Rattus norvegicus: one gene and its partners. The protein of the gene in region 3 purifies or fractionates together with the protein of the main gene of each other region. This does not show direct contact. Links are inferred from orthologs where the notes say so. Each region holds a gene or a part of one and is shown on either strand. Other genes may lie near its edges.

Evidence for each region.
Region 1: the proteins of Prkar2a (region 3) and Akap9 purify together in Homo sapiens (affinity purification with western blotting; 3 studies listed by BioGRID, with this or other methods). This does not show direct contact. The link is inferred for Rattus norvegicus from reciprocal best matches to the Homo sapiens genes PRKAR2A and AKAP9.
Region 2: the proteins of Prkar2a (region 3) and Akap8 purify together in Homo sapiens (affinity purification with western blotting; 3 studies listed by BioGRID and IntAct, with this or other methods). This does not show direct contact. The link is inferred for Rattus norvegicus from reciprocal best matches to the Homo sapiens genes PRKAR2A and AKAP8.
Region 4: the proteins of Prkar2a (region 3) and Prkacb purify together in Homo sapiens (affinity purification with mass spectrometry; 6 studies listed by BioGRID and IntAct, counting the BioPlex papers as one, with this or other methods). This does not show direct contact. The link is inferred for Rattus norvegicus from reciprocal best matches to the Homo sapiens genes PRKAR2A and PRKACB.

The regions. Positions count from the first base shown.
Region 1 is NC_086022.1:31,040,409-31,048,050, forward strand, and holds part of Akap9 (A-kinase anchor protein 9), read right to left. Parts: intron 6,491-7,642; coding exon 6,338-6,490; intron 5,550-6,337; coding exon 5,370-5,549; intron 3,920-5,369; coding exon 2,882-3,919; intron 1,647-2,881; coding exon of another isoform or gene 1,512-1,646; intron 1,037-1,511; coding exon 551-1,036; intron 152-550; coding exon 88-151; intron 1-87. UniProt on the Homo sapiens protein: Scaffolding protein that assembles several protein kinases and phosphatases on the centrosome and Golgi apparatus. Required to maintain the integrity of the Golgi apparatus. Required for microtubule nucleation at the cis-side of the Golgi apparatus.
Region 2 is NC_086025.1:11,974,899-11,982,540, forward strand, and holds part of Akap8 (A-kinase anchor protein 8), read right to left. Parts: exon of another isoform or gene 7,447-7,642; intron 6,011-7,446; coding exon 5,972-6,010; intron 5,080-5,971; coding exon 5,047-5,079; intron 4,386-5,046; coding exon 4,106-4,385; intron 3,726-4,105; coding exon 3,242-3,725; intron 2,864-3,241; coding exon 2,734-2,863; intron 2,562-2,733; coding exon 2,515-2,561; intron 1,396-2,514; coding exon 1,362-1,395; intron 429-1,361; coding exon of another isoform or gene 406-428; exon of another isoform or gene 270-405; intron 1-269. UniProt on the Homo sapiens protein: Anchoring protein that mediates the subcellular compartmentation of cAMP-dependent protein kinase (PKA type II).
Region 3 is NC_086026.1:118,320,953-118,328,594, reverse strand, and holds part of Prkar2a (cAMP-dependent protein kinase type II-alpha regulatory subunit), read right to left. Parts: intron 4,490-7,642; coding exon 4,388-4,489; intron 4,240-4,387; coding exon 4,165-4,239; intron 322-4,164; coding exon 256-321; intron 1-255. UniProt on the Homo sapiens protein: Regulatory subunit of the cAMP-dependent protein kinases involved in cAMP signaling in cells. Type II regulatory chains mediate membrane association by binding to anchoring proteins, including the MAP2 kinase.
Region 4 is NC_086020.1:238,381,512-238,389,953, forward strand, and holds the start of Prkacb (cAMP-dependent protein kinase catalytic subunit beta), read right to left. Parts: upstream 4,751-8,442; coding exon 4,705-4,750; intron 87-4,704; coding exon of another isoform or gene 1-86. UniProt on the Homo sapiens protein: Mediates cAMP-dependent signaling triggered by receptor binding to GPCRs.

The DNA of each region.
Region 1 (7,642 bases), on a different chromosome or scaffold from region 3:
GTAATTACATGTTTACATACAAAATAACACTTTTTAAATAAACACTATTTCATTTGTTTAAACATTCCAGAATTTTATTCGACTTACCACTGGAGTATACTTCTCTACTTTGATAAGCAACAGAATCTGCCAAATCAGAAATGGAGGATCCCTAATTAAAGAAGACAAAATCAGAATATACAAGACTTTAAAATTTATTTACTAAAATATTGGACCTAATGAATAATTCATCTAGTTTCTGATATGGCTAAGGGAGAAATAAAGACATCAATTTAATCTGTCATACTGAAATGATGCACAAATAACAAGTCTAATTTCCTCCTCACAGATGTTGCCATAGGAAGGAACACTTATGAGTTACAAAATCACAATAGGCTCCAAACCATACGGAAATTCATTATCTAACTATACAGAAAGATGCCACATTATGATTGTATTATGAAAAGAGGTATTATTCCTTGGATCCTTTTGAAATGTTTCTCTTAAAAGCTTATACTGTTGGAAGGCAAATGGCAGGACATAAAGAGTATATTCTATAAAGCCCACACACCTTTTTGCATCTCAGGTACTGGGTCATATCCTTCAGGGTCTCACACTCCTTAGTCAGTAACTGGATCGCAACAGAATGTTCTTTCTTCAAAGACTCGGTTTCTAAGATGTGTCTGGATTCCATATCCAAAATCTCAGCAGCATGGAGCTCTTGTATGCGCTCCATCTTTTCAGTAAACTGGTTGATGGTGTCTCTGAGTTCTTCTTGGGAGCGCTCGCTCTGTAAGTCGATCTGAACCCCAGCATGTCTAACAAGGATCTGCGGGGTCTGATTGCTGCTGCTGACCTTGCCCGTCCTCTCCATGGTCCCAGAGCCGCCACCTCCCTCAACAGAAGGTGACTCTGGTATGGGGACCCTTCTGCTTTCCTGTTCCCCAGTCCCATTCTCTTTTTCTAAGTAGTGGGATAATTTCTCCTTGGCCTCTGTGAGTTGATCTTTAACTTGGCCTAGGTCTTTCTGAAGTGATGTTATGTAGCTCTCTTTTACCTAAAACATGGTGAACAGAAGAGCAGAGAAATCGGTTAAGTCTTGTGTGGTTAGAAGCAGGCCTCAGGGTGGACACAGAGAGCACAGTTCATCGTCAGTGCTGATTTGCAGCGGGAAAGGAAAATCACAGTTAACTGGGGTGCTCCACAGTTATTGCACCCTTTTTTACACACTGCGGCCAGGTTACAGAGAAGTAAATTACGTCATCAGCCTCTGTTCTCATGGTGACTTTTAGTATTGTTTAACAAAAGCCTTACTTCTCCGTCACCTAGTACAGGTAAGAAGCATCTTCCCAACCATTACTCCCAGAAAAACAAAACGATAAGTTGCTGGTAAAGAAATGTAACCATGGAATTTTCTTTAAATCTAGAAAAGGCTTTCCCTAGCACTGAAGTTGAAGATCTAGACCTAGGGAACGCACTGAGAGGAAATGAGGTAAAAATGAATGAATTGGGAGCCATGTTGCTCATCTTACCAAAAGATCTTCTTCAAGTTTTTCTGCCCTTTCTTTGTAACTGGCGAGTTCTGAAGTGGCTGACTCAGCTTCAAAAGTTTCAAGGCCACCTGAAAATCCACTGCCTCCACCAGCATGAGTTAGCTGAGCAGTTCTCTGAGTGAGAGTTGAGGAGAATATTAGCACTGAGGAACCACAGTGATGTCCAAAGCACACCTACACTGCTTTACCAAGAATGGCTGCCTACAATCAGAGGACAAAATGGCTGAAGCTTGGTAAAATCAGCGCGGACTTTTGTTCAGAGCCATCACTCTACATGAAGATAATCAGAGCAATTTTCTGAGAATGAAGGTGAATAATGTCATTAGTATATGTATTAAAACACTTGGTTGCCATCCAAAACTTTCTAATTTGTTCCAGACATGACCAAGACACTCCTTACATGTCACAGGCAGGTCTTACCCATCTTATTTATTACTCACAGTAAAGTAGTTCCCAGTCTTGTTACTGAAATTATTGCCCTTTGCAATATAAACTAAGTCCTTGTATTGTCTTCTGTACAATAATAAATAAACACAGTTTTAGATCGTTGCCTAAGAAGACTTACAGATCTCTAATACAAGTTTTTCCCCCATGAACAACAAAATCTCAACAGGTATAGAATTTGTGAGAGCTAATGACTTTTTCCACATTAAATCAGTATATTAATAATGTGAAAATTTTCACTTCTTAAAAGGCATGATGTCAGAGCACATGTTTAGGAAGAAATTAAGGGAGAAAACCCACAGAAGTCTGGGAGAACAGAGCTAAAAGTAAATAATTTTATATTTCTATTTCAATAAATGACTTTAATGGAACAGATGTCATATTGGAAGACTACAGAATATAGTTTGCACTTGTTACTCTGGTGATAAAAATTAGTGTTAACTTTAACTGTGTCTACAGCTTTTTGCCCTAGTTTAAGGAAACTGCATTGAATACAGTATATAAGCAAATTAAAAACCTACCATAGCTAAGCCTAACAGCAAAATCTCCAGGCCAACTCTGAGCAGCTGTGCTTCAGGAAACTAGAGACCATCAACCAAAGATCATCCCCAAAGCCTTAGGCATAATCATTCAGGTAGCACTCTACTTCACTTGGGAGTTCTGTCTGTATATAATCCTATATACAGACAGGAAGTCTCTGAGTCAGTGCTAAACGATTCACAAACCACTATTCAAATAAAGTAATGCCTCTTCTTTAAGAACAGTATACTTTCATGAAATCTCATTATATATAAGTCGTTTGATGTAAACCAAACTCCAGATTTATCAGTAAACTATCACTGAACGAAGGAAAAGAATTACCTAGAGCATTTGAGTGAAAATAAACCATCATACTGAAAACTAACCTCTCTATCCCTAGGGCTTTGTTCTCTTTCTTCTTTCAGCCTTTTCTTGGCCTCTTCTAATAGCTTCTGTAGCGCCACAACTTCCTTTTCTGTCTCTGAGGCATTCTTCCCCACAGTTTCCATGTGTTTTTCTGACATTATATCACTAAGCACTTCAGCTACACGGCTCTCCAACTCTGCTGGTCTCACAGCCAGTGTGGGGACATGTGACTCCAAGTTGTTTTCTGCCAGACAATTTACATTCTGTGTATCTGTCCTTTCAGGTGCTGACGAGACCGTCTGCGTTTGCTTTTCTTGGTAGAGCTGCACACGGTCCTGAGCTGCCTCCATTTGGACCCAACTGACCAATGCAGCCGAGAACTTCTCCAGGATCTTCTGCAGGTTTGTGATCTTCTTCTGAAGCATTCCTATTTCAGACTGGTCTTGCTCTTGTATGGTGTCTATTTGTTTATGACACTGGGCAAGCTCGAAGTCCTTGGTGCTACCAGACCCCTGCAGTGGTAGTGACTTTATTTCTAGTATTTGAGAAGCTTTAGTGCTTTCTTGAAGACACATAAGGGAGGTCTGACTTTCTAGGGGCTGGGAAGCATCCTGGGCAGAGGCACCTTCTGGCTGCAGTTTGTCACAGCCAAGCTCATGCACAGTCACGTGGACACTTTCCTTAGGGACATTGGGAAGTTCTTTATTCAAGTTGCACAGTGCTTGTGTCATGTGATCCATTTTGAAGTTGATTTCTTTAAGTACATTTTTCAAGTCTGTCAGTTCCTGGTTGGTGGTCTCTACTTGCTTTTCTAAACCCAGCTTTTCAACAGTCACCCTGTCCAACTGGTGTTTAAAGCTCTCCTCGTCTTCTGGGAGGGCCCTGGCACCCTCTCTCTTCTGCTCAGTGCTGACTAACTCCTGCTGCAATTTCTCAATCACGCCATTGAGTTGCTCTGCTTCCTCTGCTCTCTGTTTCTTCATAAGTTCTTGTTCACTCATCAAACATTCAATCTGGGTTTCTAAATCTCGTATCTGGTCCTTTTGTTCTTCAATGACCTATTATTTAATGAAAAAGGATGCATACAAAATAAATGTATATTATATTCTGGAAATTCTATTTTAAGAAGTGACCTAGCAGAAATGAGTAGTTCCTAAACCAACATACTGTCTCTGACGCAGAGTGCTATTTCCAATACAGACCAGCAAGATAACCTCCTCTTATTTAGAACTTCATTCTGGGAGTTCTGTTAAACTTGAGCTCAAACCTGAGCAGTTCATTTCCCGTTTGGAAAATAGTATAAGTGCGTCCTCTTGAACAGAATGAAAGAGGACACACAACCAACGACTTTCAAGCACACCCAATAACACACACTTGAACTTCGTTAGCAAGCGCCTTCCCCAGCTGAGCCATGGTATGTTTTTAAAATTGGATGGGAGAGGGCGAGTGAGTGAGAAGGCTCAGTGACTAGGTGTGCTTATTCTGTAAGCATGAGAAGTGAATTCAAACCCCCAGCATACACATAAAAAGCTGGGCAGGACTGTGTGGGCCTGTAAGCCAGCTCTGAGAACCGGAGACAGGCAGATGTCAAGAGCTCACTGGTCAACCAGACTAAATGGAGAGCCTGTGTCACGGCAGTGAGGCAGAGAGAAGCAACAGAACATGCCTGATGCCCTGCTCTGGCCACTGTGTGCACAGGCACGGGCACACGTGTCTGCACACTCAGGTGCACACACCCTATCCCGAGGGAAATTCAAGAGGGAAGTGAGAATTATCACTATTTCGTGTTTTACATTTTAGTTCAAGCCTCTGACGTAGTGGGTCAGTGTTAAGACAGAGAGATGCAGCTCCCAGGCAGGGTCAAGTAAGGACTGGTGACAGGAGCAAGTGGGGGCTGGAATGCCGCCCTTGAGAAGAAAATGTTTTTCTCACTTGGCCTTAAACTATGTTCTGCTGTGTCCTGTTTCTGTGAAAGCGGTTCTCACGCTCTCTTGGTAATGGCGAGTATACTTTGATAATAAGAGGGGTGATATGTTATGTGAATATTTTGAGAAGAAACCTTTGTTTAGTCGTATTTCTTTGTTTAGTCTTGCCTCAGTTGTTCCTGGTATCGTGGGAATAATGATTTTATGGTATCTTGCCAAAATAAAAATTATAGTAACACATATTCATATCTATATAAGGATTAATAAAGCTTGCAACTGCGTGCAGTTGCTTCTGCCTTTGCTCTGCACGCCCTGTGTCCTGGTTGTGTGCGACCGTACCCAGGGCCTCCAATGCACTAGACGTTGACAGGTCAGGATGTTGCCTGTCAAACAGGCGAGGTGAGTCTCACTTCTGGGGTTCACCCGGTTTAAGGAGAAATTACACCCACAAGCTGTTCACTACCTCTGAAACATTGCAGGGTAAGTGCAAACTCACTCCCTTCTCCAAAATAGGTAAGTGTAACAAAAATTGAAAAACTATAACTCCTATTAATTTTGACAAATAAATTTAAAGTGGACACACCTTGTTATCTGTTGTGAGTTTAAGCTGCTGCTGGAGTTTTATAAACTGCTCATTTAATCGGTCAATTTCAATCTCCTTTTCTTGTATTAGCTGCGCAAATTTGCCAAACAGCATGGGCTGATCCTGAGTCGACAGAGAATCAGATTCCTTCATGGTGAACCCGAGTTTTTCTATTTCCTCCTAGGGACGAAAATAATTCTCATAATTGTATGACATTACATGTTTCAAAACATACCTTGAATTACGTCTTAGAAAACAGATGGCATGCACATAATAAATTAAAATAAGATACTTCAATATTTAAAATATATTGATAAATGATCTCAAATATTTTCATTATGATAAATTCAAGTATCTAGGTTAGGCAGCAAATAACTCCCATGCAAATTCATTTGCCTACTAATAACTAATATTGTTGGTAGCAAATATGTTGGGGGTTGGTCTGGTGCTATGTGTACAAATGCTGAAGTCTGACACCCCAAGATCTGACTGCTGTCTGGATAAGTGAATTCACATGTACACTGGCCTTTGTTGTGTAACCCTTGATCCCCAGTTTAATTCCTGACTAGCCAATAAATGGTTGGGGCTTATGACTGGCAGAAAGGATAGGAAGGTAGGCCTGAGAATGCAGTAGGGGATCTCGAGAAAGACCATGAGTAGAAAGAGGGTGAATAAGGGCAGGAGGTCACTGTTACACGGGGTAACAGGAGCATTCGCACACGACAAGTGCACCTGGGGACAGACTGATGACGCAGAACAGCCCTGTTGAGACTCAGACAGCGAGCGACAAGGGGCGTAGGGCTGAGATGTGAGACTAGCATAAAGCCTGTCCAATCTAGGACTAAAGCCCGTAAAAGAAATACCAGGTTTCTGTGCCTATTCTGCAGGCTGCTAGGATAACCCATTACACAAATAACTGACAAAAATACAAAGTATCAAAATGTGAATTATTCTTCTAAACCAATTACCTTAAATAATCTGTTTTCTTGCTGGAGCTCTTGCAGGCGGGTAGTGGACTCCTTTTTCTGAATTTCTAGCTGCATGAGAAGCTCCTGAACCTCTTCATTCTTATTTTCCAGTTCTTCCCGAAACTGCTCTAATTGTTCTTCTAAGTTGGTGATCTTTAAAACCAAAATTATCCGAGGGGGAACAAAAACAAAAAACAAAACCAGTTCATACAGATGTCACTGTCAAACAGAAAGGAGATCTATTTTACAAAGCATGCACTGGCATTTACATGTGCTTACACATTCAAGTCATGTTTACTGCTTCATGCCTAAACATGCTCAAGCTGAATGTCTCTGGTTTCTGGTCTTTTTGAGAGATAAGGTTTCTCTATGTAGCCCCGGCCATCCAGGAACTTGCTATGTTTGAGGCTAGCCTGCCTCTGCCTCCTTCAGTTTTAGAAATAAAGACCTATGTCACCATACCTGGCTTCAAACTACAGAAAAGATTTCTTTTTATTATTTTGATTATATGTATATGGGTTGACCGAGGATAGTAATAACCATTTAACCAACTACTTCACAACTACTTAACAGGTGTTTAATGAATGGATACGCAAAAGCCTGTTTGAATGATCAAAACCGCTACAATGCAAGCAACTTAAGATGCGGAAGCAGCACTGGTGGCAGCTGAGTTGTGGCCTTACAACCTACAGGGTAATCTGTTGTTTACGCATGGCATCATAGAATTAGCATCCCAGTACTCACAAGCAAGGCTTTGAGGTCAGCCTAGCAAGTCCAATAAAAATAGTATAATACTAGCAATAATAGTCAAATTTGCAGCTGGGATGATAGCTCAGATGACCACATATGAGGGCCTGATTTATCCCCATCACTCTGTGTAAAAAGCTAAGTGTGGTGGTGTGAGCTTGGAATTGTAGCACTGAGGAGTTGGAGACAGGATTATCCCTGGGGCCTGTTGAGATCAGGCTCCTCTACCTGTCCCTACAGGTCCCCATGGTCTCAGAATAGATGGTTGATGCTTCCTGAGGAATGACACCTGAGGTGGACAATGGCCTTCACATACGAGGCCCCACTAAGTACACAGTCACACACACACACACACACACACACACACACACACACACACACACACACACTAGACTGTTCCGTAATTATTATTCCCATTATATAGAAGAAAGAAAAGTCACAAAGAGAAGCAATGAGTCCTCAGCTCACACAGTCAGGGTAAAGCCATCTCTGAATTTACAGGGATGACTACTGCAGTCTTCCATTCCAAACCACTGTTTACCCTGCTTCTTCTCTTTC
Region 2 (7,642 bases), on a different chromosome or scaffold from region 3:
CAGGTCTGACAGTCCTTGCTGGCCCGATCTCTATCTTCCACTCACAAAACCAACAACCTTGGACTCTCCCAAGGCGGAGTGGGAAATAATCCTAGACACAAAAATGGGAAGAGACCGAATGGTCCTCCCGTCCATTCCCTGGGGCTGGCATAGCTCCCAGGAGAGCCCTGTGGCCAGCATCTCAGCATGAGACCAGCCAGAGCCCCAGGGTCAGGGCCAGGGCTGGATGCTGAAAAAAGGTTGGATAAGCATCTGAACTGTAACCCCTACCCCTGATGCCAGTCCCGAGACTGTCCCACGAAGATGGCGACCGGCGTGCGCTGCTCAGAAGCCTCTCAAAAGGACGTGTGGGACTTTTGGCAAGAGGTCACTGCCTGAAACTATGACTGCTGTTTAATAGCAAAGTCATCCCGGTTGGGTAGCAGGACCTGTGCGCAACAAACATGTCACCTTTGCTTTAGCATTTACCCGGCTGCGTGAGCTGCTCAATGCTGGGGGTTGGGGAGTGGTCCGCGCTGTGGACAAAACTTTAATGTGTAGGATGAGGGACACCTGAGGGTTCGATAACCTGAGAACCTTAGAGGAGCCATACGCCTTCTGACACTAAGGGATATGGGCTAGCCTGTGAATCTTGAGAGGAACCAGCTAGAACAGGTCTACACCATAGGGAAAATGACAAGTGGCTGCTGGGTGAGCCTAAGGCCTTGCTGCTCAGGCTGGTTCTCACCCTTGGGTATAACCTTTGTTGGGCTCTTAGGTCTCTTGCCTTTAGATATGGGCCTGAGTACACCTTACAGGCTATCCTCCCACGACCTCAAGATCAACCATAGTAGGTATTTGCTCTCTGTGCACAGGTACTGAAGATGCCAATATTTCTTGCAGAGGCCAGGGTACAAATTGAAGCTCACAACAGAGAGAGAGAGAAAAACAAAAAAACAAAAACAAAAAAACAAAACCAAACCAAAAAAACAAAAACAAAACAAAATAACAAAAATACCCCTGGTGGGAATAAAGATGGGCCAGAATACGGGAATAGAAAAGAGGCCTCTTTCTCTTCAGACTTCTGAAACCTTTTTTCCGAACATGGGTATCACAGATACCCAGAGATGGGTTTCTACCTCCTACAACTTGTATCTAGATCTGAGGCAAAGGAGCTCCTCCTTTCAGGCAAACCTTGCCCCAGACACTGGAACCACGCTTTGGGGATGGCTCCCACAGTGTGGGTCCACTGACGGCTGCAGTTCCTCTGCCATCAACCATGGCGTCTCCATGACAAGTCTGTTTTGCTCAGAAGCTGGCCGGGAGCTGGGCGGTGAGTGTGGGTCAGATAAAGGCTACAAAAGATGCTGGGTGACACCTACCTCTCTGCTTCCGGGAGTCACAGAGGTCGTCCTCCTGAAAAAGGGCACATACAGTGTCAGGCTGTGGGGTGGGGTCCAGAAGTCTCTCTAACCAGCCCAGGCCATACCTAGGATGTGGTCTTACCAGACCTCGGCCTGCTGTGGTGTGGGAAATGAGCAGCAGGAAACCTCAAGAGTCAAAGAGGAGAGCTCAAGTGCCCCGTTATAATTCACTGCTATTAGAAGACCACAAAGGTATTTCCTTTCCTACAGTGACCAACTCTGTTCTCTCCAAAGTGACAGAACCTGCCCAGTGGCAAACGTAGCCCATGTAGTTCTACACCACAGAAAGGCTTATCCACCGGCAGGGGAAACACCCAGTCTGGGGTATTCTAACTAGCACTGATTGTAAACAGGCTTCCCCAAGCTTCTTAGGATATATTTAGCACTCTAACAAATTAGTGTAAATACAGATCCTAGGGTTATCTAGGCAGAGTCAGTTCCCTGGGCAGGTCTAAGAGATGTACAGAGACCCCCAGCCTTAAGGCTACGTCACCTGAATGGGGAGCAAGAAAGAGTCTTAGAAAAACCTCAGTTATTGGTGGTAGGTGGGTGGAGCACTTGGGAAACATGGTTTAAGCCTTGGATTCTACCACCTGCTGGCCATAAGAAGAAAGCTGTCGCCCATCCTCGCTTGGCTCTCCACCCGACCATCAGAAGTACCCAGAGCAAACTTTCTAACAAACACCTTGTGCATTCCTCAGCAAGGTGGTGTGGCCCAAGACTGGCCTCTGCTGACACTCCCCAGTGATTGGGTATCAGGTCAAGAGGCTAGACAAGGTGAGTAGCACCCTGCAGAGCCCCACAATTAGAAGGCTGAAGGTTAAGACTCAGCACTGTAAGGCAAGGGAAATGAAAGAGGACAGTGGATGATCTTCCTGGGAGACCTGCTCTTTTCAGAAGGGAATAGGAGCAATGGATCTAGGGAAGAGGCCAGGAGGTTGGGGAACAGAAACTAGAATTAAAGACAAGCAAACACAAGAAACAGTTGTTACAGGCCACACACAAAAGATATATGCTTGATTTCAGCAAAAACAGCTATTTTCACCTCTGTGAGGAAAAAAAAGACAGAAGAAAACAAGGCCAAATCAACAGTCTGTGAAGGTGAACTTACCCCCCTAAATTCTTCATCTCCTGACCGTAAGTCACCAGCTCCATCATCTGCCAGACACAGGCAACAGAAGTGTCAGTCCCTAGGTGGATGGGTCTCAGAGCGCTTTCACATTCCCAAGCTCAGGGACTAGACTAGCAACAGGGCTCAGCTAAGGCAGTGTGAGCCAACAACGCCACCTCATTCCAGAGCGGGCAACTGACTCTGATCCCCAGAGCATACCGTTTTCAGAGAGGTCTCCTTCACTGTCAGCACGGGCCAGCTTGGCATCAGGTTCTTCATACAATGGAAACGGCTTCCGCTTCCTGCCCATGTTGTCTGGTCCAAAGCGTTCAAACCCCCTCCTTCTGGGCTACAGACACAAACACATGTCATGTACCTGGGCCTATAAGATGCCCCAGCATTTTTAAGGACAGAAAACAAAGGCAGGAAAAAGCCTTCAAAAAAGCAAGAGACTATAACAGAAGTCAAAAGCTTGAGAGGGAGCCAGACACACAGAACCACATGTACAACTCCATTGCTGTGAAATATTCTACAACAGGCCAACCCAGGGACAGAGAAGGGATGAATTGAGGGAGACATCTAAAACCAAGTGGCGTAAACTCACTGAAAGTGGGACTGTTCCCTGGGAAATAGGGGCATCTTACAGTAGACAAAGGTACACAACTTTCACCTCAACTAAGTTTTAGGAAGAAAAGGCAACAGGCCTGACAGAACTTGGTAAACTTACCCAATCCCGTATCCGAGTCTGGGACCGGCCACATCCATAAGGCATGGTGCCACCAAAACCGCCCACCCCCTGCATGCCCATCATGCTGTAGTCAGGGGCCATGGACTGGGAGAAGAGGGAAGGAGGCGGCCTGTTGGTGGAGGGCCCACCTAGACCACGTCCACCCATGTAGTTCAGCTCACTCCAGGTGGTGGATAAGGGCTCTGAGGAGGCTGAGGGTGGCATGAAGGGGTCACTACGTATGAAGGTGCTCGAGTTGCTCCGGTCCTGGAAGCGGCCCTGGCCCCGGCCCCTTAAGAAACCATCAAGGGCGCCTCGCTCTGGGGTTGGGTCCCGACAGTCGTTGAATGTCCCGCCAAAACTACCATTGCGGTCAGTTCCCAAGTCAAAGTCATAATCGTAACTGTAGCTGGGGCGGTAGGGAGTATGCTCAGGCATACAGGGCCTGGAGTCGTAGGACTCATATGGCTGGAAGCGGAAGGAGCTGCAAAGGAAGTAGACAACCCATCAGGAGCAGCCTACGGCACCCAGGCTACCCAACAGTCTGCCCTCTGCTAACTTTACACTGAGCTGACCCCCTTACATTCAGAACAAGAAACCAATCCACCCAGTATCTACCTAAATGCCCAGAAAGCAAATTGGCCTCAGAACACTCATTTAAACATTGCTAACAGAGAAGAGCATGAAGCCCCTGCCAGAAGAAAGAATCTTCGGTTAACTTAATTGGCCAACAGTTTAGGAATCCTCCCAACAGGGTCTAGCTCCTGCCTAAAACAGGAACAGGAAAAGAGGGCTAAGGCTTGGTACCCATTTTCATGATTCTAGAAAGGGATTCTACCAGGAAAGGTTGAAGGCCATAATCACCTGTCTCGGTCCTGCATGCCCTCCCCACCGCTGCTGATCCCACCCCTGCCTCCTTCCTTGGACAACATGTCCAAACGTTGATTGATCTTGGCAATGAGCGAGTCAGAGTTGTCGGTGCATGGCTCTGGGGCAAAAGAGGCCACATGCATAGCAGAACTCCCAGCTGCCAGGCCACCATCACTGGCCTTGGTGGCCTCCCACGAGGCTGGGCCATAACTATAGGGTGTTCCTGTAGGGACACTGGTGTTCTGGGCATTGTAGTAGCTGTAGTTTTCATAACCTATCAGAAGAAAGAGGAACTGGGTTAGGCCTCAGCACATGAGGCTAGCCATGACATTCTTGTCTGCAGAAGCACTCTCTGCCACCAAGCAGGAACCAAGCATCACCAACATCATACCACAATACGCAAATGATCAAGACCAGAGAAACAGCTGGCCACAGGTTGTAGTAGCAGTTTTTCTTTTTCTTTTTTTTTTAAAGATTTATTTTATTTATATGAATACACTGTAGCTGTCTTCAGACACACGGGAAGAAGGATGGTTGTGAGCCACCATGTGGTTGCTGGGAATTGAACTCAGGACCTATGGAAGAGCAGTCAGTGCTCTTAACCTCTGAGCCACCTCTCCAGCCCAGCAGTTTTTCTTTTAAAGACAGAAGGACTTGTTTCCTAATCAAAGCCAGAGGAGGCTAAGTGCCTCGGAATAGCAATCCAGACTGACAAAGACATTTGAAAACTGTTCCTGCACTCTATCCACGATCCCTCAGGAACAAGTTCAAGTCACCTTCAGGTCAGCCTAGCTTGGGCATGACTCGAGGCCCAGTGCCCAGCAGCCTCTATTCCCCATGCTATCAACAGAGATTTTGGGCACAGCCAGGATGGAGGGATAGGACCTGTACTTGACTCACTTGCCCACCTCAAGATCCCTTTCCAAAGGTCTTACCTTGCCAGCTGGCCACACCACTTCCATATGTACCTTGAGGAAAAAAACAAAAACACATAAGCACTTCACTGCACCAGAGTTACCTAAGGACAGCTGCTGCCTCACTGCACCAGAAGACAGAATGGGTACAAAGCACCATTGATATTTCTCTCTTGGGGCAAGCCTGACTTCTCCCAGGAAAGAAAGGTACAGTAGTCCCTAGGACGGTGATCAACTGAGTATCAACTGAGAGGACAGTCTGGCCTGGACCTTAGAAAGATCCCCTACATAAGCTCAGTTCTCATCAGGAGCCCAAACCTAGTTATTCCCGATCATACCTAGGGCATCAGTGGGGGAAAAAAAAATCACATTTTCAACCGAACAAGAGCACATTATGTGGCACAGGTATTGAGGAGACCTCCTCATGGGACCTCAATGATACACAAAAAAAAGAGTGGCTGGCCTCCAATGGTGCTAGGGTGTGACCTGGGACTAGAAAATTGGGGCCTCTTGTATGTTAAATACACAATCCTTTCAGAGTTCCTCTCAGATTTTAAAGATTTATTCTATGTAAGTACACTGTAGCTGTCTTCAGATACACCAGAAGAGGGAATCGGATCTCTTTACAGATGGTTGTGAGCCACCATGTGGTTGCTGGGAATTGAACTCATGACCTCTGGAAGAGCAGTCGGGTGCTCTTAACCGCTGAGCCATCTCTCCAGCCCCTCTCAGATTTTAAAAATGGTGGTAGGGTAGTAGAGTGATACAGGGAGTTTTCTATTTACTAATCAGCCTCTGCTCCCTTGTAGCACTCAATAAACTATTTTTCCTTAAGATAAAGAAAAAAGACAAACATACTCCAGTGAAGGCAGATGCTGGGCTCTACTACAAAAGGGCATGCAGTGGAGAAAACCCCAATTAAACCCATTAAACAGGAGCCACTTACCCTGGGTGTTGGCAGGTCCAGCACTCCATGCCCCATAACCTGCGAAAAGATCATGTGTCAAGATTCTATCTTACCATCAAGAAAACGAGGGTTCTGATAATACCCAAAAAGTCTGAAGGGATTTCTCTTTTCAGAAGTGTTAACTTACAATTAGGGAATGTAAATGTAACCTAGCACAACTCCATCCTTCAAGAACTGCCTCAGCCCCCAAATGCACGCAAACCACCACACTTTACCTGGCTGAGCTGACCAAAGCAAAAGAATTGGGGAAATGAACCAAATTTAGAGGATACAGCATTATGTTACAGTGTCTACCCTACTGGCCCAGCCGCCACATAACTGAGAAGACTCAAGAGTGCAGGCAGATATGCCACAAAACTGAAAAATGGCAACATAAACGTTAGGGTTGATTCCATGTAACTAAACACTCAATACCCTAGCCTCCACCTGACCTAGGAAGCCATCCCCATTCCCCTACTACACCCCTGTAAACATAAGGGGGAATCCCATTCTTCTCATTTGTGTTCCTGGAGCTTAGAACATCGTTAGACAGAGTGGCACAGCCCCAGGCTGTCAAAAGACTTCATTTTGACAAAATGAATGGTTATCTCCCTTTCCAGAATATCCCAAATCCACCACTCTAACATAGTCCCTTAAATGTGTAGACAGGTACTCAGCGAGTACCGCCATACATAATTGCTACTTAGAAACCAGGGAGGCTGCAAATACTCTTAACTGCGTCTGTAAAGTTATTGGAAGGTAGAAGAAAGTGGGAGTCACCATGAAGTTTCCTAACCCAAGAAATAAAACAGGGTTGTGACAGGTTATCTGGTGGGAAAACCTCAGAGTGGAAGATGCGGATCTAGGATCCTAAAGAAGGAGCGCTGTGCTGTCCCTGAAGATATCCAAGCACACGTGTTCATCACACCTCAGGCCTCTCTGCTAAGTCCAGTTCTAGGGATCTTGTTACTCTGCTGCCTCTCAAGATCCCTTCCTTAGCGGCCAGAAGCCAATAACCACTCCTATGCCCACTTCGAACCCCATTCCATATGTTTCAACTACCTCTTGTAGATAAATTTCGGTACAGAGTCAAGGCCTCCCAGGAGATTAAAAGCATATAGCTCGGGGCTGGGGATTTAGCTCAGTGGTAGAGCGCTTACCTAGGAAGCGCAAGGCCCTGGGTTCGGTCCCCAGCTCCAAAAAAATGAACCAAAAAAAAAAAAAAGCATATAGCTCGAGAAATGAAGTCTAAGTGCAAAAAGATGCTGAAATTTAGGTTGGGAAAGGTAACGTCGCGGCTTCCGCAGACCCTTTGGTCCCTCCAGGCCACCGTAATGTTACAGTCAAGAGTTCCAGTCCCTTAGGCAGCACACTTCCCCTGGGCACCACACGCCGCGTACACTGCAAGGACCCAGCCAGGTTATCCCGAGGAGCTTCACGAGCTTCACCGGGTGCTGCCGCAGTGCATAGCTTACCCGAAAGTCTTCAGGAGAGCGAGCCCAGGGACAGGCGTTCTCAAGAACGACCTGCTGAGGATGAGCTCTGAGACTCTCCTCGCTACAGCCGACGCGGACCCGGACGGACCTCACCCCCTTCTCCCGACACTCGCTTTAGCCCCACCCCTGGGGCCGCCATTTTGTGGCGTCTTCAGAAGATAAGGCGGGACTGAGA
Region 3 (7,642 bases):
TGCCCTGGCATTTGCCTACACAGGGGCATCGAGCCTTCACAGGACCAAGAGCTCTCCTCCTACTGATGCCAGACAATACCATCCTCTGCTACATCCTCTGTGGCTGGAGCCATGGGTCCCTCCATGTGTGCCTCTGCTTGGTGGTTTAGTCCATGGGAGCTCTGGGGACAATGGCTTGGAACTTTTAAAGTACAGGCCACGCTGAACAAAGTAAACACTGGCGCGAGGACACGTGCACAGTGCGCCCAAACTCACCTTGCTTCTAATCAAGATGCTCACTTCTCCAGACTCTATAATATAAAAGCTGTCGGCCTTTTCACCCTGAAAAAGAGGAGGCAAGGTCAAAGACACCGAACACCAAACACTGTGAGCGCTGTCGGCCTCAGAGCTCTGTCTCCAACTGCTCAAGTGGGTCAATGGCTAACAGACTTGTAATGAACCAGAGGTTCCTGGTCAGTAAGGACACTGGCCCCATTATGACTAACACTTCTCCTCTGTCTTTTTTTATTTTGGTTCTTTTTTTCGGAGCTGGGGACCGAACCCAGGGCCTTGCGCTTCCTAGGTAAGCGCTCTACCACTGAGCTAAATCCCCAGCCCACTTCTCCTCTGTCTTATGCACTCATATTTACCTCCAGGAATATGACCAGGCCACCAACCTCACAGCATCCCTGCTCTGCCTGTCTGTCGGTGTGCTGAAGCCCATTCTAGGGACCAGTATACAAGAATACTGCACATAGTGTCAAAGTAAGGCCCAGAGTATGAGGCCTAGAACAATCTTGATCAACAAACACAGTCCTCAAGAAGAAAAAGGGAGAAAGCATTGTAAGTCAAGCACAGTGACCTGAGGGTCAGTCCTCAGAGCCAAAGTTTGGGGTGGGAGGAGCTAAGTGTGGTAATGCACAAGTGTAATCTCAGTGCTTCGGGGACAGATATGGCAAATCCCTGGGGGCTTCCTAGCCAGCCAGCCCAACTTTAGAAAGCTGCAGGCCAGTAAGAGGCCTTGGTTGTTTTGGTTTTTTTGTACCCTTCTCCCCATAGGTTTCTCTGTGTAGCCATGGCTGGCTGTCTTGGAACTTGCTTTGTAGAGCCCAGGCTGGCCTGGAGTTCTACCTGCCTCTGTCCTCTGAGTGCGGGATTAAAGTGTGTGTGTCACCACACCAAGCGAGACCTTGCTTTTTAGTTTTTGTTTTAGTTTATGTGTGGTTTTTTTTCTTCTTTCTTTTAAAATGGACTGAGCACAAGCAATGACATTGGAAGGTTGTCCTTGACCCCCACCACCACCTCCCCCATACACAGGAAGAGGTCAGCATGGATGCAGATGGCTGTACCTTCGAGCACAAGCTCTAACGCTGCCTTTCTAAGCTGTAGGCCTTCTTTTTCTTGGTTTACTACTAAACTACCTAGCTGAACAAGCCATTCAGGTAATTCAACAAATGACGTACTATGTACATAAAACTAATACCAAGAAATATGATAATACAGAACATTAATAATAAGTTATACAGCTGTGTGGGAGGGTGGCAAGTGCTACAGGACAAGAACAGGACAGGGACCACAGGCTCTCAACTGGCGGTAGATGGACAGGCTACTGTGGACAACACAGCTTTAGGGAAAGGCGAAATCTGAGCAAAAGCTGGAAGGAAGAGAGACTCAGGCAAGCAGACAGGAGACAAAGCTTTCGGCTTGTTCCACTTTCTCACCCTCACAGTTAGCTCTGGGTCAAACCACGGAGAACAACGGCAGTCACATGCTACTGGTTGGTGCTTTGTTCTGAGACAGGTCTGCCTACGTGGTTCTGGCTGGCCTGGCATGCATTGTCTCCAGGTTAGCCTCACTTTCATCAGCACCCCTTCCTCTGCCTCCCAAGTGCACTCCCACATGCCCAGCTTGGTGTGGACTTTGTCTTCAGTAAGAGTCCGCCCTGCCAAGCGTCAGTCTTTTGCTTGACCCACCACTTCAAACCCCAAACAGAGAGACACCATTTGAGGCTGATTCGCTTGAGTGAATCACCAGTTCCAGCATGGAATGACGGCTCATGGCTATAACCACAGCACGCAGCCAGCTAAAGCAGAAACACTGCTGTGAGTCTGAAGCTAGCCTAGGCTATGCAGTTAGATCCTGTCAAAAACCCGAAAGACTTTTGTGTCACAGTGTGAATGCAAAATGTCTCCCAAAGGTCCATGTATTTGACCTCTTGTCCCCATCTGGAGACACTTTCCTGGGAAGTTACTGAACCTTTGGAACACGGGGCCTCACTCTGTCACTAAGAGAGACATTCCCCTGTTTTTCATTCACTCTCTTTCTGATTACCACGGCCTGACTTGTTCCTGCCTCCATGATGAGCTGGTATCCCCTGAAACTGTGGGCAGAATAACTTGAGATGAAAGATAGAAGCCCCCTAGGGATGGCCAGCATACACCCGCAGCCTCACTGGCCAGCATGCTATGCAGACAGCATGTCATGCACTGGAGTGCAATGTTTAATGTGCAGAATGGCTTATGCAATGCTTTAAGCAGAACAAATGAGGGCTTTTTCTATACAGTTCATTGCCTTAATAAATTTATAATATAAATGTGAGCAGATTTTTTTACTTCATAAAGTAAACACGGACATTTCATCATATTTGTACTCTGCATATTCAAGGAAGAAATTAAGTTTTGTATAAACCTGTAAAAAACAAGCACTTGCAGTTTCCTTTCCAGAGTAACACGGATTAGTTACCTCTATTCTACACTCTCACTTTGCACATGTGCATCATCACACATCACAGTGGGCCTTACTGAGTCTTGTTTACCCCAGTCTTCACCTAGCAAGCAGAGCCATTCAGAGCTGGAACTGGGATGAACAGGGTACTTCTGTCAGTGCTGTAGTGGGCTCTCCTCTCCCTTCACTGTAAGTCTGACTAGTTCTCAAGGCTTGGGTGGGGCCAGCTCTATGAATGGGACTCAAGCACATAGGCCTGGGATCCACCCTGACCTGAAACCATCCTCTTCACCACAGCTGGGTGAACAAGGCCCTATACACTGTCCACCTGGACTCAGCCAGACTCCTTCCCCAGTGGTCTTGTCAGATCCATGGGCAGGTAAGTTTATATCTGGAAAAGTTTCTAAAACTACTTACATGTAATTAAAATACAAACACAGTAGACAGAGGAAATATTTCTAAAAGATATTACATGTAGAACAGGAGAGCCAAAAGTTGTTATGTAGCTGAGAGTGGTCCTGAACTCCCGACCCACTTGCCTCTACCTAAGTGTTGGGATTTTAGGCATACACTGCTATGCCCAGTTTGCAGTCTTCTTTAAGTATAATGGTCCAGTTTACTGTGTGGGATCTAACATTATTAAAAATAACATGAGAAAGACACAAAGGGTCTCTATATCAAGGAGTCACTGGATGCTGAGGATTCCCGTGTCAGCACAGGGCTAAGGGAGCGTAAGCCCCAGCTGTCTAGTACAGACTAATAAAGTTTACTCAGGGTCAAAAGAAAATTAGATCCACTAGAACAAACGGCAGAAGCCCACCCCTAAATGAATGCAGTCCGAGCCTAGCAGCACATGGTGCAATCGCAGAGACTTCGAAGGCTTCCATGTTTAGGACGACTTGATCACGCTGTCTCGAAACAAACAAAAAGGACCAAGGACCCAGCTCAGTGGCAGAAGCCTTTGCTCAGCATGTGAGTTCAGTCCCTGGTACTTCAACTAACGTCTCAGGGAGATGGGCCTCAGTGAACAGCATTCAGAGGTCTCTATAGAAGGGACAACATGAGCTTCCAGTGATTTTTTTTCTTCTTTTTTTCTTTCCTTCCTTCCTTTTTTTTCCTTTTTTGAGACAGGATCTCTAAACAGCTCTGGGTGATCTGGAACTTGGTATGTAGAGCAGGATGGCCTCAAACTCAGAGCCCCACCCCCACCCCCATTCTTTTTTTTTTTTTTTCTGTTTTATTTTTTAAGACAGGGTAGACCAGGTTGGCCTTAAACTCAGAGACTGGCCTGCCTCTGCCTCCTGAGTGCTTGGTTAATGGCATGTGCCACCACCACCCAGCTTACTTCTCCTAAATGCTGGCATGACAGATGTGCGTTACCATACTCAGTCCGCAAGCAGGTCACACTGTTCATTGTGATGGGGACTTCCAGAAAAGGAGCTGTGTGAGCCCCCAACTCACCTGAGTGATTATTCGCTCTCCATCCTTATAGATCTTTTCCCCGATCACATCCACAATCTTCATTCGTTCTGACATCTAAGTAACGGATATAGTTACAGTATGAGGATAAAACCTTGATTGACTGTCACTGTTACAACTAGATCAGAACAGTATTATTTGAAGACCTAAGAGCAGTTTTAACAGCTTTTCATGAACCACATACACAGACTCTCGTAAGCCTTACCTCTAGTGATTTAAAGAGCGGTACAGACTCAATAAACGATTCGAACATCTTCCTCTTCTTTGCATTGTTCTTCACTATGATTCTCCTAAAAGTCACCCGGTCCTACAGGAAAACACAGGGCAAGTCTACTATATGTCTGTGAAGAGAACATCTATGGTTTAAGTAGCTGAACCACTGCTAGAGAGCTGGAAGTCCCTAATCAACAGGGTTTAATGATGCTGGAAGAAAAACCCCTCAGACTTGAGCTAGGCACAAGTCTCCAAACTGTAGTGTGCTGCTGTGCTCAATGAGTGCCGCCGTGGGGCGTAAATAGATCACAAAACAAAACTCCCATTAAATACCCGGGTGCTCATAGGTATTAGACAGTACCAAAAGATACCTCCAGAAAAGGCAAATAATGCCCATCAAGAGTCTGTGACTATAAAGAAAAGACAACACAAGATACACAGGACCCATAGCCTTAATCAACACTTAGTAGCTGAGACAGGAAAACCATACATCCAAGATTGCTCTAGGCTACAAGAGAATTCTTGGCCTGCCTGAATAACCATCTCTAACAGAAACAAAAAGAGAACAAAGTATAAAGTAGAGAAGGATTTTTGCAATTGCTGTATGCTGGAGGGAATATAAAGGAATTTTAAAAGCTCAAGATAGCATTCGAACAGAAATGTACAAAGTACAGAGGCAAACATTTCCAGGTGGACTCCAGGGCATGGCAGTGTAAGCCTGTGATCTCAGACACTCAACAGACAGAGGACTCAGCAGCAGGAGGCCTAATTAAGCAACACTAGAAACTAAAACGGATTTGGCATTGGATCTAAGTTAGCAGTATTTTTCTTCTACCTCTGGCTGTCAGAGATGAATGTTTTGCACACGGCAATGACATCCTAAACACAAAGGCTGAAGACGCAGTACAGAGAGCAGAGCTGCAGCTTCCTCGCGTCTCTGAAGACAGGCAGGAGCATGGTGGAGACCGCACAGAGGCAATACGGTTTGTACCTCCATCAGCCCAGAATTCCCAGCCCTGTCTCATGCCATGATTCACCTACTTAATCAGAGAAGTCACTTACATGCCCAGTACGGGCGACTGTGGGCTCCTCCTCCTCTGCTCTAAACTACAGTGCACTCACTATTTTACAGCACTGGCACTGAGTTAAGTTGGTCTCCGTTTTCTTCACCATCTGCTTGCTTGACAGGAGCTACTGAGTCTTTACTGCTCTCACGGGTTACATCATCTGCATTGATTTCTGATTCTGAGGTGAAGAACTTATCACATGGGCTGGAGTTGGCCCAGTGGTGAAGAGCACTGGCTGCTCTCCCAGAGGTCCTGAGGTCAATTCCTAGAAACTACATGGTGGCTCACAACCATCTGTAATGGGATGCGATCCCCTCTTCTGGTGTGTCTGAGGACAGTTATAGTGTACTTATATATAATAATAAAGAAATCTAAAAAAAAAAAAAAAGATTCAAGTACTGTTGCTGGGTACCACGGTACATGCATTTAATCCCAGCACTTAGGGGCCAGAAGCAGACAGATCTCTGTGAGTTTGAGATCTCTGTGAGTTTGAGGTCAGCCAAAGCTACAGAGTAAAAGAAGGCTACCCCCTATGCCAATGCCTTCTTCTGATGTGTCTGAAGACAGCTACACTGTACTCACAGACATAAAATACTTTTAAAAAAAAGGGTTAACCTTCTTTAACAACAACAACAAAAAAGAATGGAGACTTTCTTCAGTGACTTACATATTGGGGTTCTTGTCCCATCCATCCATCCATCCATCCATCCATCCATCCATCCATCCATCCATCCATCCATTTATTTAATTTCATTTGACAAGTTCTCATGTAAGCCAGGCTGCTCTTGAATTCACCACATAACCAGAAAATGTGCTCCCATGCCTGGTTTTATGCAGAGTTGGGGACTGAATTCAGGGCTTCCTTGTACTCCACCACTGGGCATCTCTCCCAGCCAAGTCTGATCCTCTGTCTGCATGATTTTATACTTCCCAGAACTTTTATTTTATGCCGTGCAAGGCCAGCTCTTGTGACTGTGAACAGCGTTAAAACAAACAAACAAGCCCCTACCTCAAATGCCCACCTAATCTTGAGGGGTGGCCCACAGAGCAGTGAAGAGGCAGTAAGTACACAAGGGGGCAAAGAGCCCTCAAGTTCAAGTGGGAAAAGGAATGAGTGTCACTTTTGGTCATGCTTACCAGGAAGTGTCCTCTGACTGAGGGCAATGACTCATTTAAGCAGGGATGTAGAACCCAGGGCAGAACTCCATGACAACACTGTTCTCCTTGTCTATCCTCAGCAGGCAGTGCAAAAGTTTTGCCTCTGAATCGTCCTGAAGTCCATTTCTGGACATAAGACAGAAGCTCCAAGAGAGACTGAGCTTGTAAAGTGACCAAATGAAGCCCAGGGGCATCTTCTTCATGGGTCACTGGCCTGATGTCAGGCCAGGACCGAGAGGAGGATCCTTAACTCCAGGCAAGTGGTGACCAGCACCATGGCCACAGAGTCGGTGCTACCATTCTCTGGGCACCTACGTCAGCTGTGCCGGCCCGGACGCAGCTACTTCTCTCGTGTCCACAGCCCTATGTCAAGCCAGAAGGCAGACTATTTCATAGACCATTATATTTTTAAATAATTTCCACTTTAACTTGTTATTTTTACTTTATTATTTCCTTATATTACTTATATGAAGAGTAGATTATGTAATCCTCAAATGTTTGGAGATTTTCACTATTTCCATTATTATGGCTAAAGAATAAATACTGATATTAATTTTTCAAACACACCAGAAGAGGGCATCAGATCCCATTACAGATCATTGTGAGCCACCATGTGGTTACTGGGAATTGAACTCAGGATCTCTGCAAGAGCAGTCAGTGCTCTCAACCTCTAAGCCATCTCTCTAACCCTAATTTCAACTTTTGATTTGTTAAGATTAATTTTACATTCCGGGGTAGGGTCTAATGTAGTGGCCATTTACATTCTTTTTTTTTTTTTTTTTTGGTTCTTTTTTTCGGAGCTGGGGACCGAACCCAGGGCCTTGCGCTTCCTAGGCAAGCGCTCTACCACTGAGCTAAATCCCCAACCCCGCCATTTACATTCTTAAAATGAATATATTCTGCTGTGTCTCTTCTATACATTTCAATTAGATCCTACTGGTCTACCAGGCCAAGCTCTTCCGTATCCTCAGTGATTTCTGCTGAGTCACAGTGCATCATCTGGGACGTGGGTCTGTCTACGT
Region 4 (8,442 bases), on a different chromosome or scaffold from region 3:
GGAGCCCGGGCAGAGGAGCAGGACGGATGACGTCCAAACGGGAGGTAGCTCTAAACAGTAATCCACGCGAAAATAGAAACCGAGAACTAAAGAGATCAGGTGTTGAGTTCATAATTCTGTTTTATCTTTTAACCAAAACTATTCCCAAGTACCTCTGCCAGTCTATTGACAACTCCACTTCTAATTACCATTTAAGAAACTTGTCAACCTGATAAATAAAAAGTACAAAGACATAAGAAGAGAAAACTAAATTCATTTCTTGTCAACAATTGATCCTAAAATACTGTCAATCAAATATACATTTCCACCAAAGGGAACTTCAGGGAACTTTTTGAGTCTATCAAACTACTACATCTTAATTTGTACACTATGTTTATAAGTCGTTACTTAGAAGAAATGCTGATGATTTTGAGAAGATATATATCTAGAATTTTGTTCATCTAAATACACTCTTTATTAACAAAATTATAGATTAAGGGTTGGCGTTTTTATTAAATGTAAAGACAGCGCTTGTCAAAAACAGGCTGTCAACCCACCAAACATCATCTAGACAAGTGCAAGGGAAAATACAGTCCTTCCGTGGTGCAGCTGCGGTCCATGTGCTCAACAGCAGCATCTGGGTAGAAACCACCTCACTGAGCAGTGACGTGGAGAACATATCTACCATCATAGGACTATTTAAAATCACGGTACGACACAAAAGCCTAAATTCATTAATAGCAATATAAGTTCAACTGACCTCTTGGCTTGCTTACTACCTAACAGGAAGATAAGGTAAATTTAGAAATGAGGAATAAACCACATGACAATGAAGGTTTTAAGAGTAGAAAGGTGGTTATATATGGTTAATTTAGCATTGAAAATGAAATACCTAAAGAAAATAATTTAGCCCTGCCCCCATTTTTAGATGATGATATGAATCTAGAAAATGGTACAGGAATGATAATCTTCCTTATTTAAGATAGTCAGTAGATCCAAATAGAGTTACCATTGGAAGTAATAAAGTGTGTTATCATTAATAAACTGAAACAAAGAACTGGCTATTCTTTGTCCTGCAGCTGACTTTCTGCTGGGTACTCAAAAAGAATGCTCAGCAGGACTCTTAGGTCAGAGGCTCTGATTCTAGCCTAAGTTCAGATGCCACTCCTTGATTAACTACGATGCAACCTTTAACCAGTTACACATCATTTCTTTATCCACTTTTGAAAATGGGGCAACATTAGAACCATTCCATAGGGTTTGAAAAGGTATGCATGGCAATGTGTGCAAAGCACCCAGAGAAAGACACACACTAGTTCTCCAAAACGTCAAGAAGTTTGCATTTGGGGTTGGGGATTTAGCTCAGTGGTAGAGCGCTTGCCTAGGAAGCGCAAGGCCCTGGGTTCGGTCCCCAGCTCTGGAAAAAAAAAAAAAAAAAAAAAAAAAAAAGAAGAACCAAGAAGTTTGCATTTGCTGAACTTAATCTACTGATGACTTTCTCTGATCAGTTTCTACCTATTCTCAAGGTCTCTTTTTCCTTTTCTTTTGAGACAAGGTCTCATGATGTCACTATTGCTGACCTCAACTTTATATTGAGTAGGCTAGCCTTGAACTCAGAAGCCTTGAACAGCCTTCTTCTGCCTCTCCAGTGTTGGGATTAAAGGTGTGTGCCACCTCATCTAGTCCAAGCTCCAAGGTCATTTCCAAAAACCATCATAAAACCACTGGGCTACAGAATAGCTTTCCTACTTCTGCTCATGGGAGAATTAACACCCAACAGTGGTTACCCCTGGACCTGGACACGCTTACCATGTGTAATATGTAGATCACTGACAGCCTGGAGATGTAAAATATGTTTTAAAAGAACAAAAACATTTCCCTGATTAAAAGAAAAGCATGGGGCTCTGTGGGTTTCTTTTTTTCCCTCTTTTGTATTAATAAGGCTATGTGAGCAACATATTTAACTGGGAAATAAGGTACTCTTGAAACATCTCTGAGACTTGTAGCCTCTTGTTTCTAAAAGTTTAAGGTTCTGTGTATTAAATGATGTTTAAATAAGTATACTCAAATTTTGGAAGACATTGTTTCAAGAGTAATTTTTAAAACACATAGGAGACTTATATAAAGCCAAAAGTTGTTCTTTGAAACACCCCCATTCTCTGAGGAATTCAAATTAACTTATCTCTAGAAACTGTGGAGATCAGAATGGAATCCTTTAATTTTGTGGGTGTAGGAGCAAGGCCCTGGATGATCAAAGCTAAAAAATTAAAAAAAAAAAAAAAAAAAAAAAAAAAAGTCAAGCCAAACCAAATCAAACTAAAACAACACTGATAAAACAATCCCCAAACAAAAACAACCCCTAAACAAACAAAACAAAAAACAAGGAGCTACCAGAGCCTCGCATTTATCTTTATCCCCAACTTCATTCTTTGGGAGTATTTTTAGAATTAAACTCTAGAATTACCTGTCTGTGGGAGGCTTCTTCCTCATCAAACTGCAGATCTTACCTTCATATCTTTAATTAGCTCTTCAAATCAAAAACTTCCCTGCTGATAATTTCTGGTGTTCTAATTTTACTCCCAGTGTCAGCACTTACAGTCTACCTTTCACCTGATACTACATAGTAAAACCTTAGGATTTTGTCCACAGGGTCTACCGGGAAACCCAAAGTGGGTAGTAACTACTCTGAAAGAGGACAGACTAATTACTTAGTGACGTGGGATGCAGTGCAAGCATCAGTGCTGTTCTTCACTCTCTCATTAAGAACACGATCTCAACCCTTGCTTCTTCAGGGCTGGCGCTTGCTTGGGTCTTGAGATAGGATGAGTGCAGACTGAACTCTTAAGATCATACATATATCTACAAGTGTATTCTGTGTATCAAGAGAAATTTAAATAATTACATTTAAAACATGAGCCACAAATTTTCAAGAATAATTCATTTGAAAATATACAGAACATTTAGGCACACAATGGTAAGACATGTTTTGTCGTGAAGTTTTATGAAATTATACCACTTCTTTACTACAGAAGAACACCAGCACATCAGCTAACATTTCTCCAAATGGAGGCATGAGAGCTGATCCACAAATGCCTCATATGATTTCCCATGAGACATCTGCTACCTTCTTTCCACACTTCAGAATATTTTGCAAATTATTCTAAAGATCTTCAGTTTCTATAAATAAACTCACACACGACTTTGTCGTAGTTACCAGTTTAAATTCACATCATCTGGGGGAACTGGTTGGAAACATAATAGCAGAAATGTATAGACTACTGGAGAGTGGATTATCATTAAAAACACAAGAACTGTAAAGGCAGCTCTTGCTAAGAACATTCCTGGACTGATCCAACTATCAGGTTCATTTTCATAACTCACTCAGCATAGACTGGACAAGAGAAATAGGGGAAGGGTAATGTTAAGTGGATATAAAATTTTGTCATACTTCATTTTTTGTGAGTCTGTACGATTAGTTACTACATTTGCACAATTAATAAAGATAATACGGAAGTCCTAATTCTACATTGGCTTTTCAAATTGGCACATGCTCACCTACAGTTTGCACTACTGTCCATATAACTGTCCGGGAACAAACCATATTAATGAAACAACCCGCTAAATCTGACTTTGTGGTTTACATTCCACAAAAGCAATAGCTGGACCGTCTGTCGATTCAATTCTGCTGTATTCATGAGGATCAAAAGCTGTTTGTTTCAAGCTAATTACAGGATTAGCTGTATTCTTCTGCTATAAACACAGACATAACGGAAGATATTTTTTACAGAAACACGAACAAATTGTCAGACTTACTTCAAGGGCTGAGATGTCATTTACAATGTAACAAAAGACAAGTACTGTTCGTTAATTATTCTGAATTAGAAATTATGATATGAACCGTATAATGGCACACGATTTTTTCACAACCTGTTACACTACACGTGTATATGTGTGTGTTTACATATGAAACCGTGCTACTACACTTCCACGACTCTTGAAATTTTGTATAAAGTACTGAATGTCTGCACTTTGAGCTCTCAGAAGAAAGCACTTCAGCTCTGAAATACCTTTAAGTTTTACAGGCATCCTGGTGCATTCCTGGATGTCTAGAGTAAAAACAAAGCTGTCTCACTTTTTTTTTTCCCCTCGAATGGATAAAGTTGCTGCTTGTGTTTATGCTGCCATCCCTAATGTGGGTGAAGGAAAGAGCCTTAGACACTGAGGGTTAACGTCACCTTTGGAGACCCACACCCGGCACTCACCTTGTGATGAGATTGATATATAGATCCATGAGAAGTAACAAAAGAGCCAACTCAACCCAAACGCACTACCTGTAGCTCCCCTAAAAGAGGAGTTAGGGTGTTGGGGGCTCTGGGAAAAGGGAGAAGAGCTAAGGGTGCGATCACAAAAGGGACTTCTTTTAAGGACCATATTTGGGGAAGCTTTCCAGACCGTGGCAGCCCTCCTCGCTCTAGTAAAACAGGGGATCACAGGGACCGCGCGGCCCGCCTTCCCTCCAGCAAGCCCGGGAGCTCGGCCCTCACCCCCGAGCCTTAGTGGGGGAGGGGACAGAGGAGGCGGCTGGCCCCCGGGGCCCCTGGAATTGTTAGCTGCGGCCGCCGCGAGGCCTGGTCCGTGGCTCGCGGCCTTGGGGGACTCCGGCCCGGGGTGCTGCACCGCAGCCTATCCGGCGGGAACCCAGCCAGGGCCTTCAACTGGACTCACCGCTCTCCACTTCGCTGCCTTTCTTGGCGATCGCCGTGTTCCCCATGACCCGGGAGTCCGTAAGCAGGAGTGACGGAGGGGAGGGGACCGGGGCCGTCCCGCCGCCCCGCAGTCTGCAGCAACTCCTGCTTTTGTTTGACTCCCACAGACCCTGGAGCGCAGCGTCCGGGTGCACAGAGCGGCTGGGTGTCTAGAAGAGATGCTGCGAGCTCCCGGGCAGAAACCGGGACTGTGGCGGTGGCGGCGGCGCGCAGACACTCCCCCTTCCCGAGCCCGCCCTCCAGGCGCGTCCCCGACACTGCGCGTCCCCAGTAAACGCACACCCAAAGTGCGACCTCCGCCTCTTTCCGGGCGGGCGCGCCGGAAGTGACGTACGCAAGCGCCCCCCCCCCCCCGGTTGGACAGGAACCCCTCTGTGTAGCGCTGAAGTGGTAAATAATTGTTCTCCAGAGTGGATGCTGAGCTTGACCTCGGAGGCTAATCTCGAGGTTGCGAGGGACATGGAAACCGTTAGCTTGGAAGCACCCCAAATCCTTCCTCGGGGTGGTATCCGGTGCGGTAGAGCCAGACGCGGGGCACAGTGCCAGGGCTCGGCTTGCTCCCACATCCGTGCTGCGCGCGTTCCGCATACAAAGGTTGCTCACTCGGTGGCTAGAGGAATGTGCGTGCGCTCCTCCGCGTCCTGCGGACCCTGCTGATCCTTAGGTCAGCCTTGGCCAGGAACGCTGGCCAGCTGCCACTGGAACTTCTTTCCTTCGCTCTAATAGGTATTCTTCCAACACACTAGGTCTATCGCCAACTTTCTGGACAGGTTATTCCTTCCCGAGTTCGCTTTCCTTGGTCTCACCTAATCACCCTCTTCTGTCAGACTTTCTAAGGAGAGATGCGGGAATGTATTACTGTTTTTACACAAGTACGTTATGTGCATCATCAGAGTCACAAATTTCATGTGTAAATTTCAAAATAAATACATTCCCAATTGATTGTTGCGTTTTTATGCATCTTAGAGAACTTAAGTTTTCTGTAAGGTTATTAGATATTTAATCACCTAGCTCTCTAGTAGTTTTTGTACTGTATTCTTTTGAGCTTTGCTATCTAAGCAAGAATTCCAGACTTATAACAGAAAGATTAACTTCTGGAAGGTCAGAGACCATGTAAATTAATATCTGCAGCTCAAACTAAAATTGGGGTATAATGAACGGATGTCTGTTGACTGGAAAGTAAGTTAAGGAGATTTTTCTTAGAACGTTTTTAAAGTTTTGTTACTGGGGGGAAAAGCAGCGGTGACTGGAAGATTCTAAACAAAGTCATGTTTCTATTTCTTATTGGCAATTATGTTAAAGCCAAGCGTGCACACCAAGTATACTGCATTCTAAGTGTTGTACAAATAGTAAGTAATTTCCTCATAAAGTCTCTATGAAAATGTAGCGTTACTATCATTGTATTACTTAAGGTCCAGCGGGGGCACAGAGACATTAAAGGACTTACCTAAGTCGCACAGATATTACCTAATTAGAAGAATTTGAAATGAAGAAGGTAAATCCATACCATCTGGAAAAAATGCCAGAATGGTATATTTATTATTTTGGTTTTAAATGAATTGAGAAATTATAACTTAAGAATAGACCATTGTTTAGAGAAGATGTCGTTTACATACCAAGGTCAGAAAATAACTTTAATCACTCGATACTACTGATTGGGGCCACCACCAACTGGAATAAACTGTGATATAACTTTCAAACATACACACACACATACATATACATATATACATACATGTACATATGTATATCTTCAGACCATGCCAGAAACTTAGTGCGGTATCATCGACATATATATTTGTCCAATTAGTCCTTTCCAAATGTTTTATTTGTCCAAGGAAGTATGAAAATACTTTATCAGTCACTTCTTCAGATTTTACTTTTTGTGAAGATCTTCATGTCTTATAAAATTAATAATTTACCTGTTTCTCTGGCTAATCAGCTCTGATTTTTTTTTTTTTTTTTGGATTCCTACATCCAACCAAAGAACCCACACAAAAACTGAAGGGGGATAGTGTGATGCTTTGAATAGGTATGGCCCCCATAGACTCATGTGTTTGAGTGCTTGGCCACAGAGAATGTCTCTATTAGGAGGTGTGGCCTTGTTGGAGGAAGTGTGTCCTTGTGGGGTGGGCTTTGAGGTCTCTTGTGCTCGAGCTAAGGTCAGTGACACAGTCCCTCCTTGGCGACTGTGAATCAAAATGTAGAATTCTCAGCTCTATCACCAGGTCTGCCTGCAAGCTTCCATGCTTCCCACCATGATGACAATGGACTAAACCTCTGAAACTGTAAGCCAGCCCCAATTAAATGTTGTCCTTTGTAAGAGTTGCCTTGGTCAGGGTGTCTCAGCAATAAAACCCTAACTAAGACAAACAGAGAGAAGTGTTCTGTCCTCTGATAAGCAGCTGGGCTCCAAAATGTAAGCTCAGTCTTCATGTGGGTCCTCCAGCAACCAGAGATGGGGCAGTCCCTAAAGCTCTTGCCTGTTTGTGGATCCCATTCCCCTAACTGAGATGCCTTGTCTGGCCTCAGTGGGTGAGGATGTACCCTGCAGAGACTTGATGTGCCAGGGTGGAGGATACCCAGGGGGTACACAACCTCTGAGAGGTGAAGGGGAGAGGGTAGATAGAGGAACTGTATGAGGGGAGATTGTGATGGGGGGGCAGCAATTGGGATGTAAAATGAATAAATTAATGGGGAAAAGTGTGGCTTTTGTTCATACTGTAAGACATCTGTGTTGTGGTAAATCAAATTCCCTCCATATAAAATCCCAGTGACTTGGCAAGATAGAGAATTAGTTTAGTCCTTGAGAATGTTGACTATATTGTTCCCTGAGTTTCATTAACTACAAATAGAATAGCAACAGTAAGGAAGCAAGGAGAGCAGACATGGAGGCCCATACCGTTAATCCCAGACTAAGGAAGCATAGACGGGTGCTACACAGTGAGTTCCAGGACATCCAGGGTTACACAGATCCTGTCTCAAAGAGAGATGTGGATGGGTTGGGGAGAAAGCAAGTAGATCACAGGATGTGAGGTTTATGTCGGCACCCAGTGATATCACACCCCTCCCAGTTTTAGCTTTGTGAATGCAATGTTTCGTATACTTTAAAAGTCCACTAACAAACCACATACACTCCAAATTTCATCGACTTTGTCTGAGAAGGACCTTCCTAGACCCCCTAGAATACTCTTGCTGCCCCCCTAACAGTGACTTTTTACGTGTATGCAGGCCTGAGCACTAGCTGAAATGATAAGTGTACATGATTTTTCTCTTCCCTTGACCCTATTTTCAGTCATGAGTCATCTCTAGTAAGAGAGAAGTCTCCATTTACCGTCCATTTGGAAGGAGGCGATCGGCACCTCTTAGAAAGGTGGGCACTTAAGAGGTGGCTCATCAGGTAAAGCTCTTGGCAAGCCAGGTTGTTTCTGTTTCTACAACCCTCTTAAAGGACAGAGGGGATGCTAGCCACCAGGGAAGGAGGAGAGATGGAATCTCGAGAACAAGTTCACTAGCCAGGCTAGGTCAGGCCAGTGTAGAACTAAGAACTCCAGGTTCAGCAAGCCGTGCTGCCTCAAAGGCTGACAAAGATGAAGAGAGACTCCTAACATCACTGCGGAGCCTGCACATGCTCACACGTGTGTGCTTCCACTCACAGGTGTGTCCACGTTGTGTAAACACGCATACACACATTCGT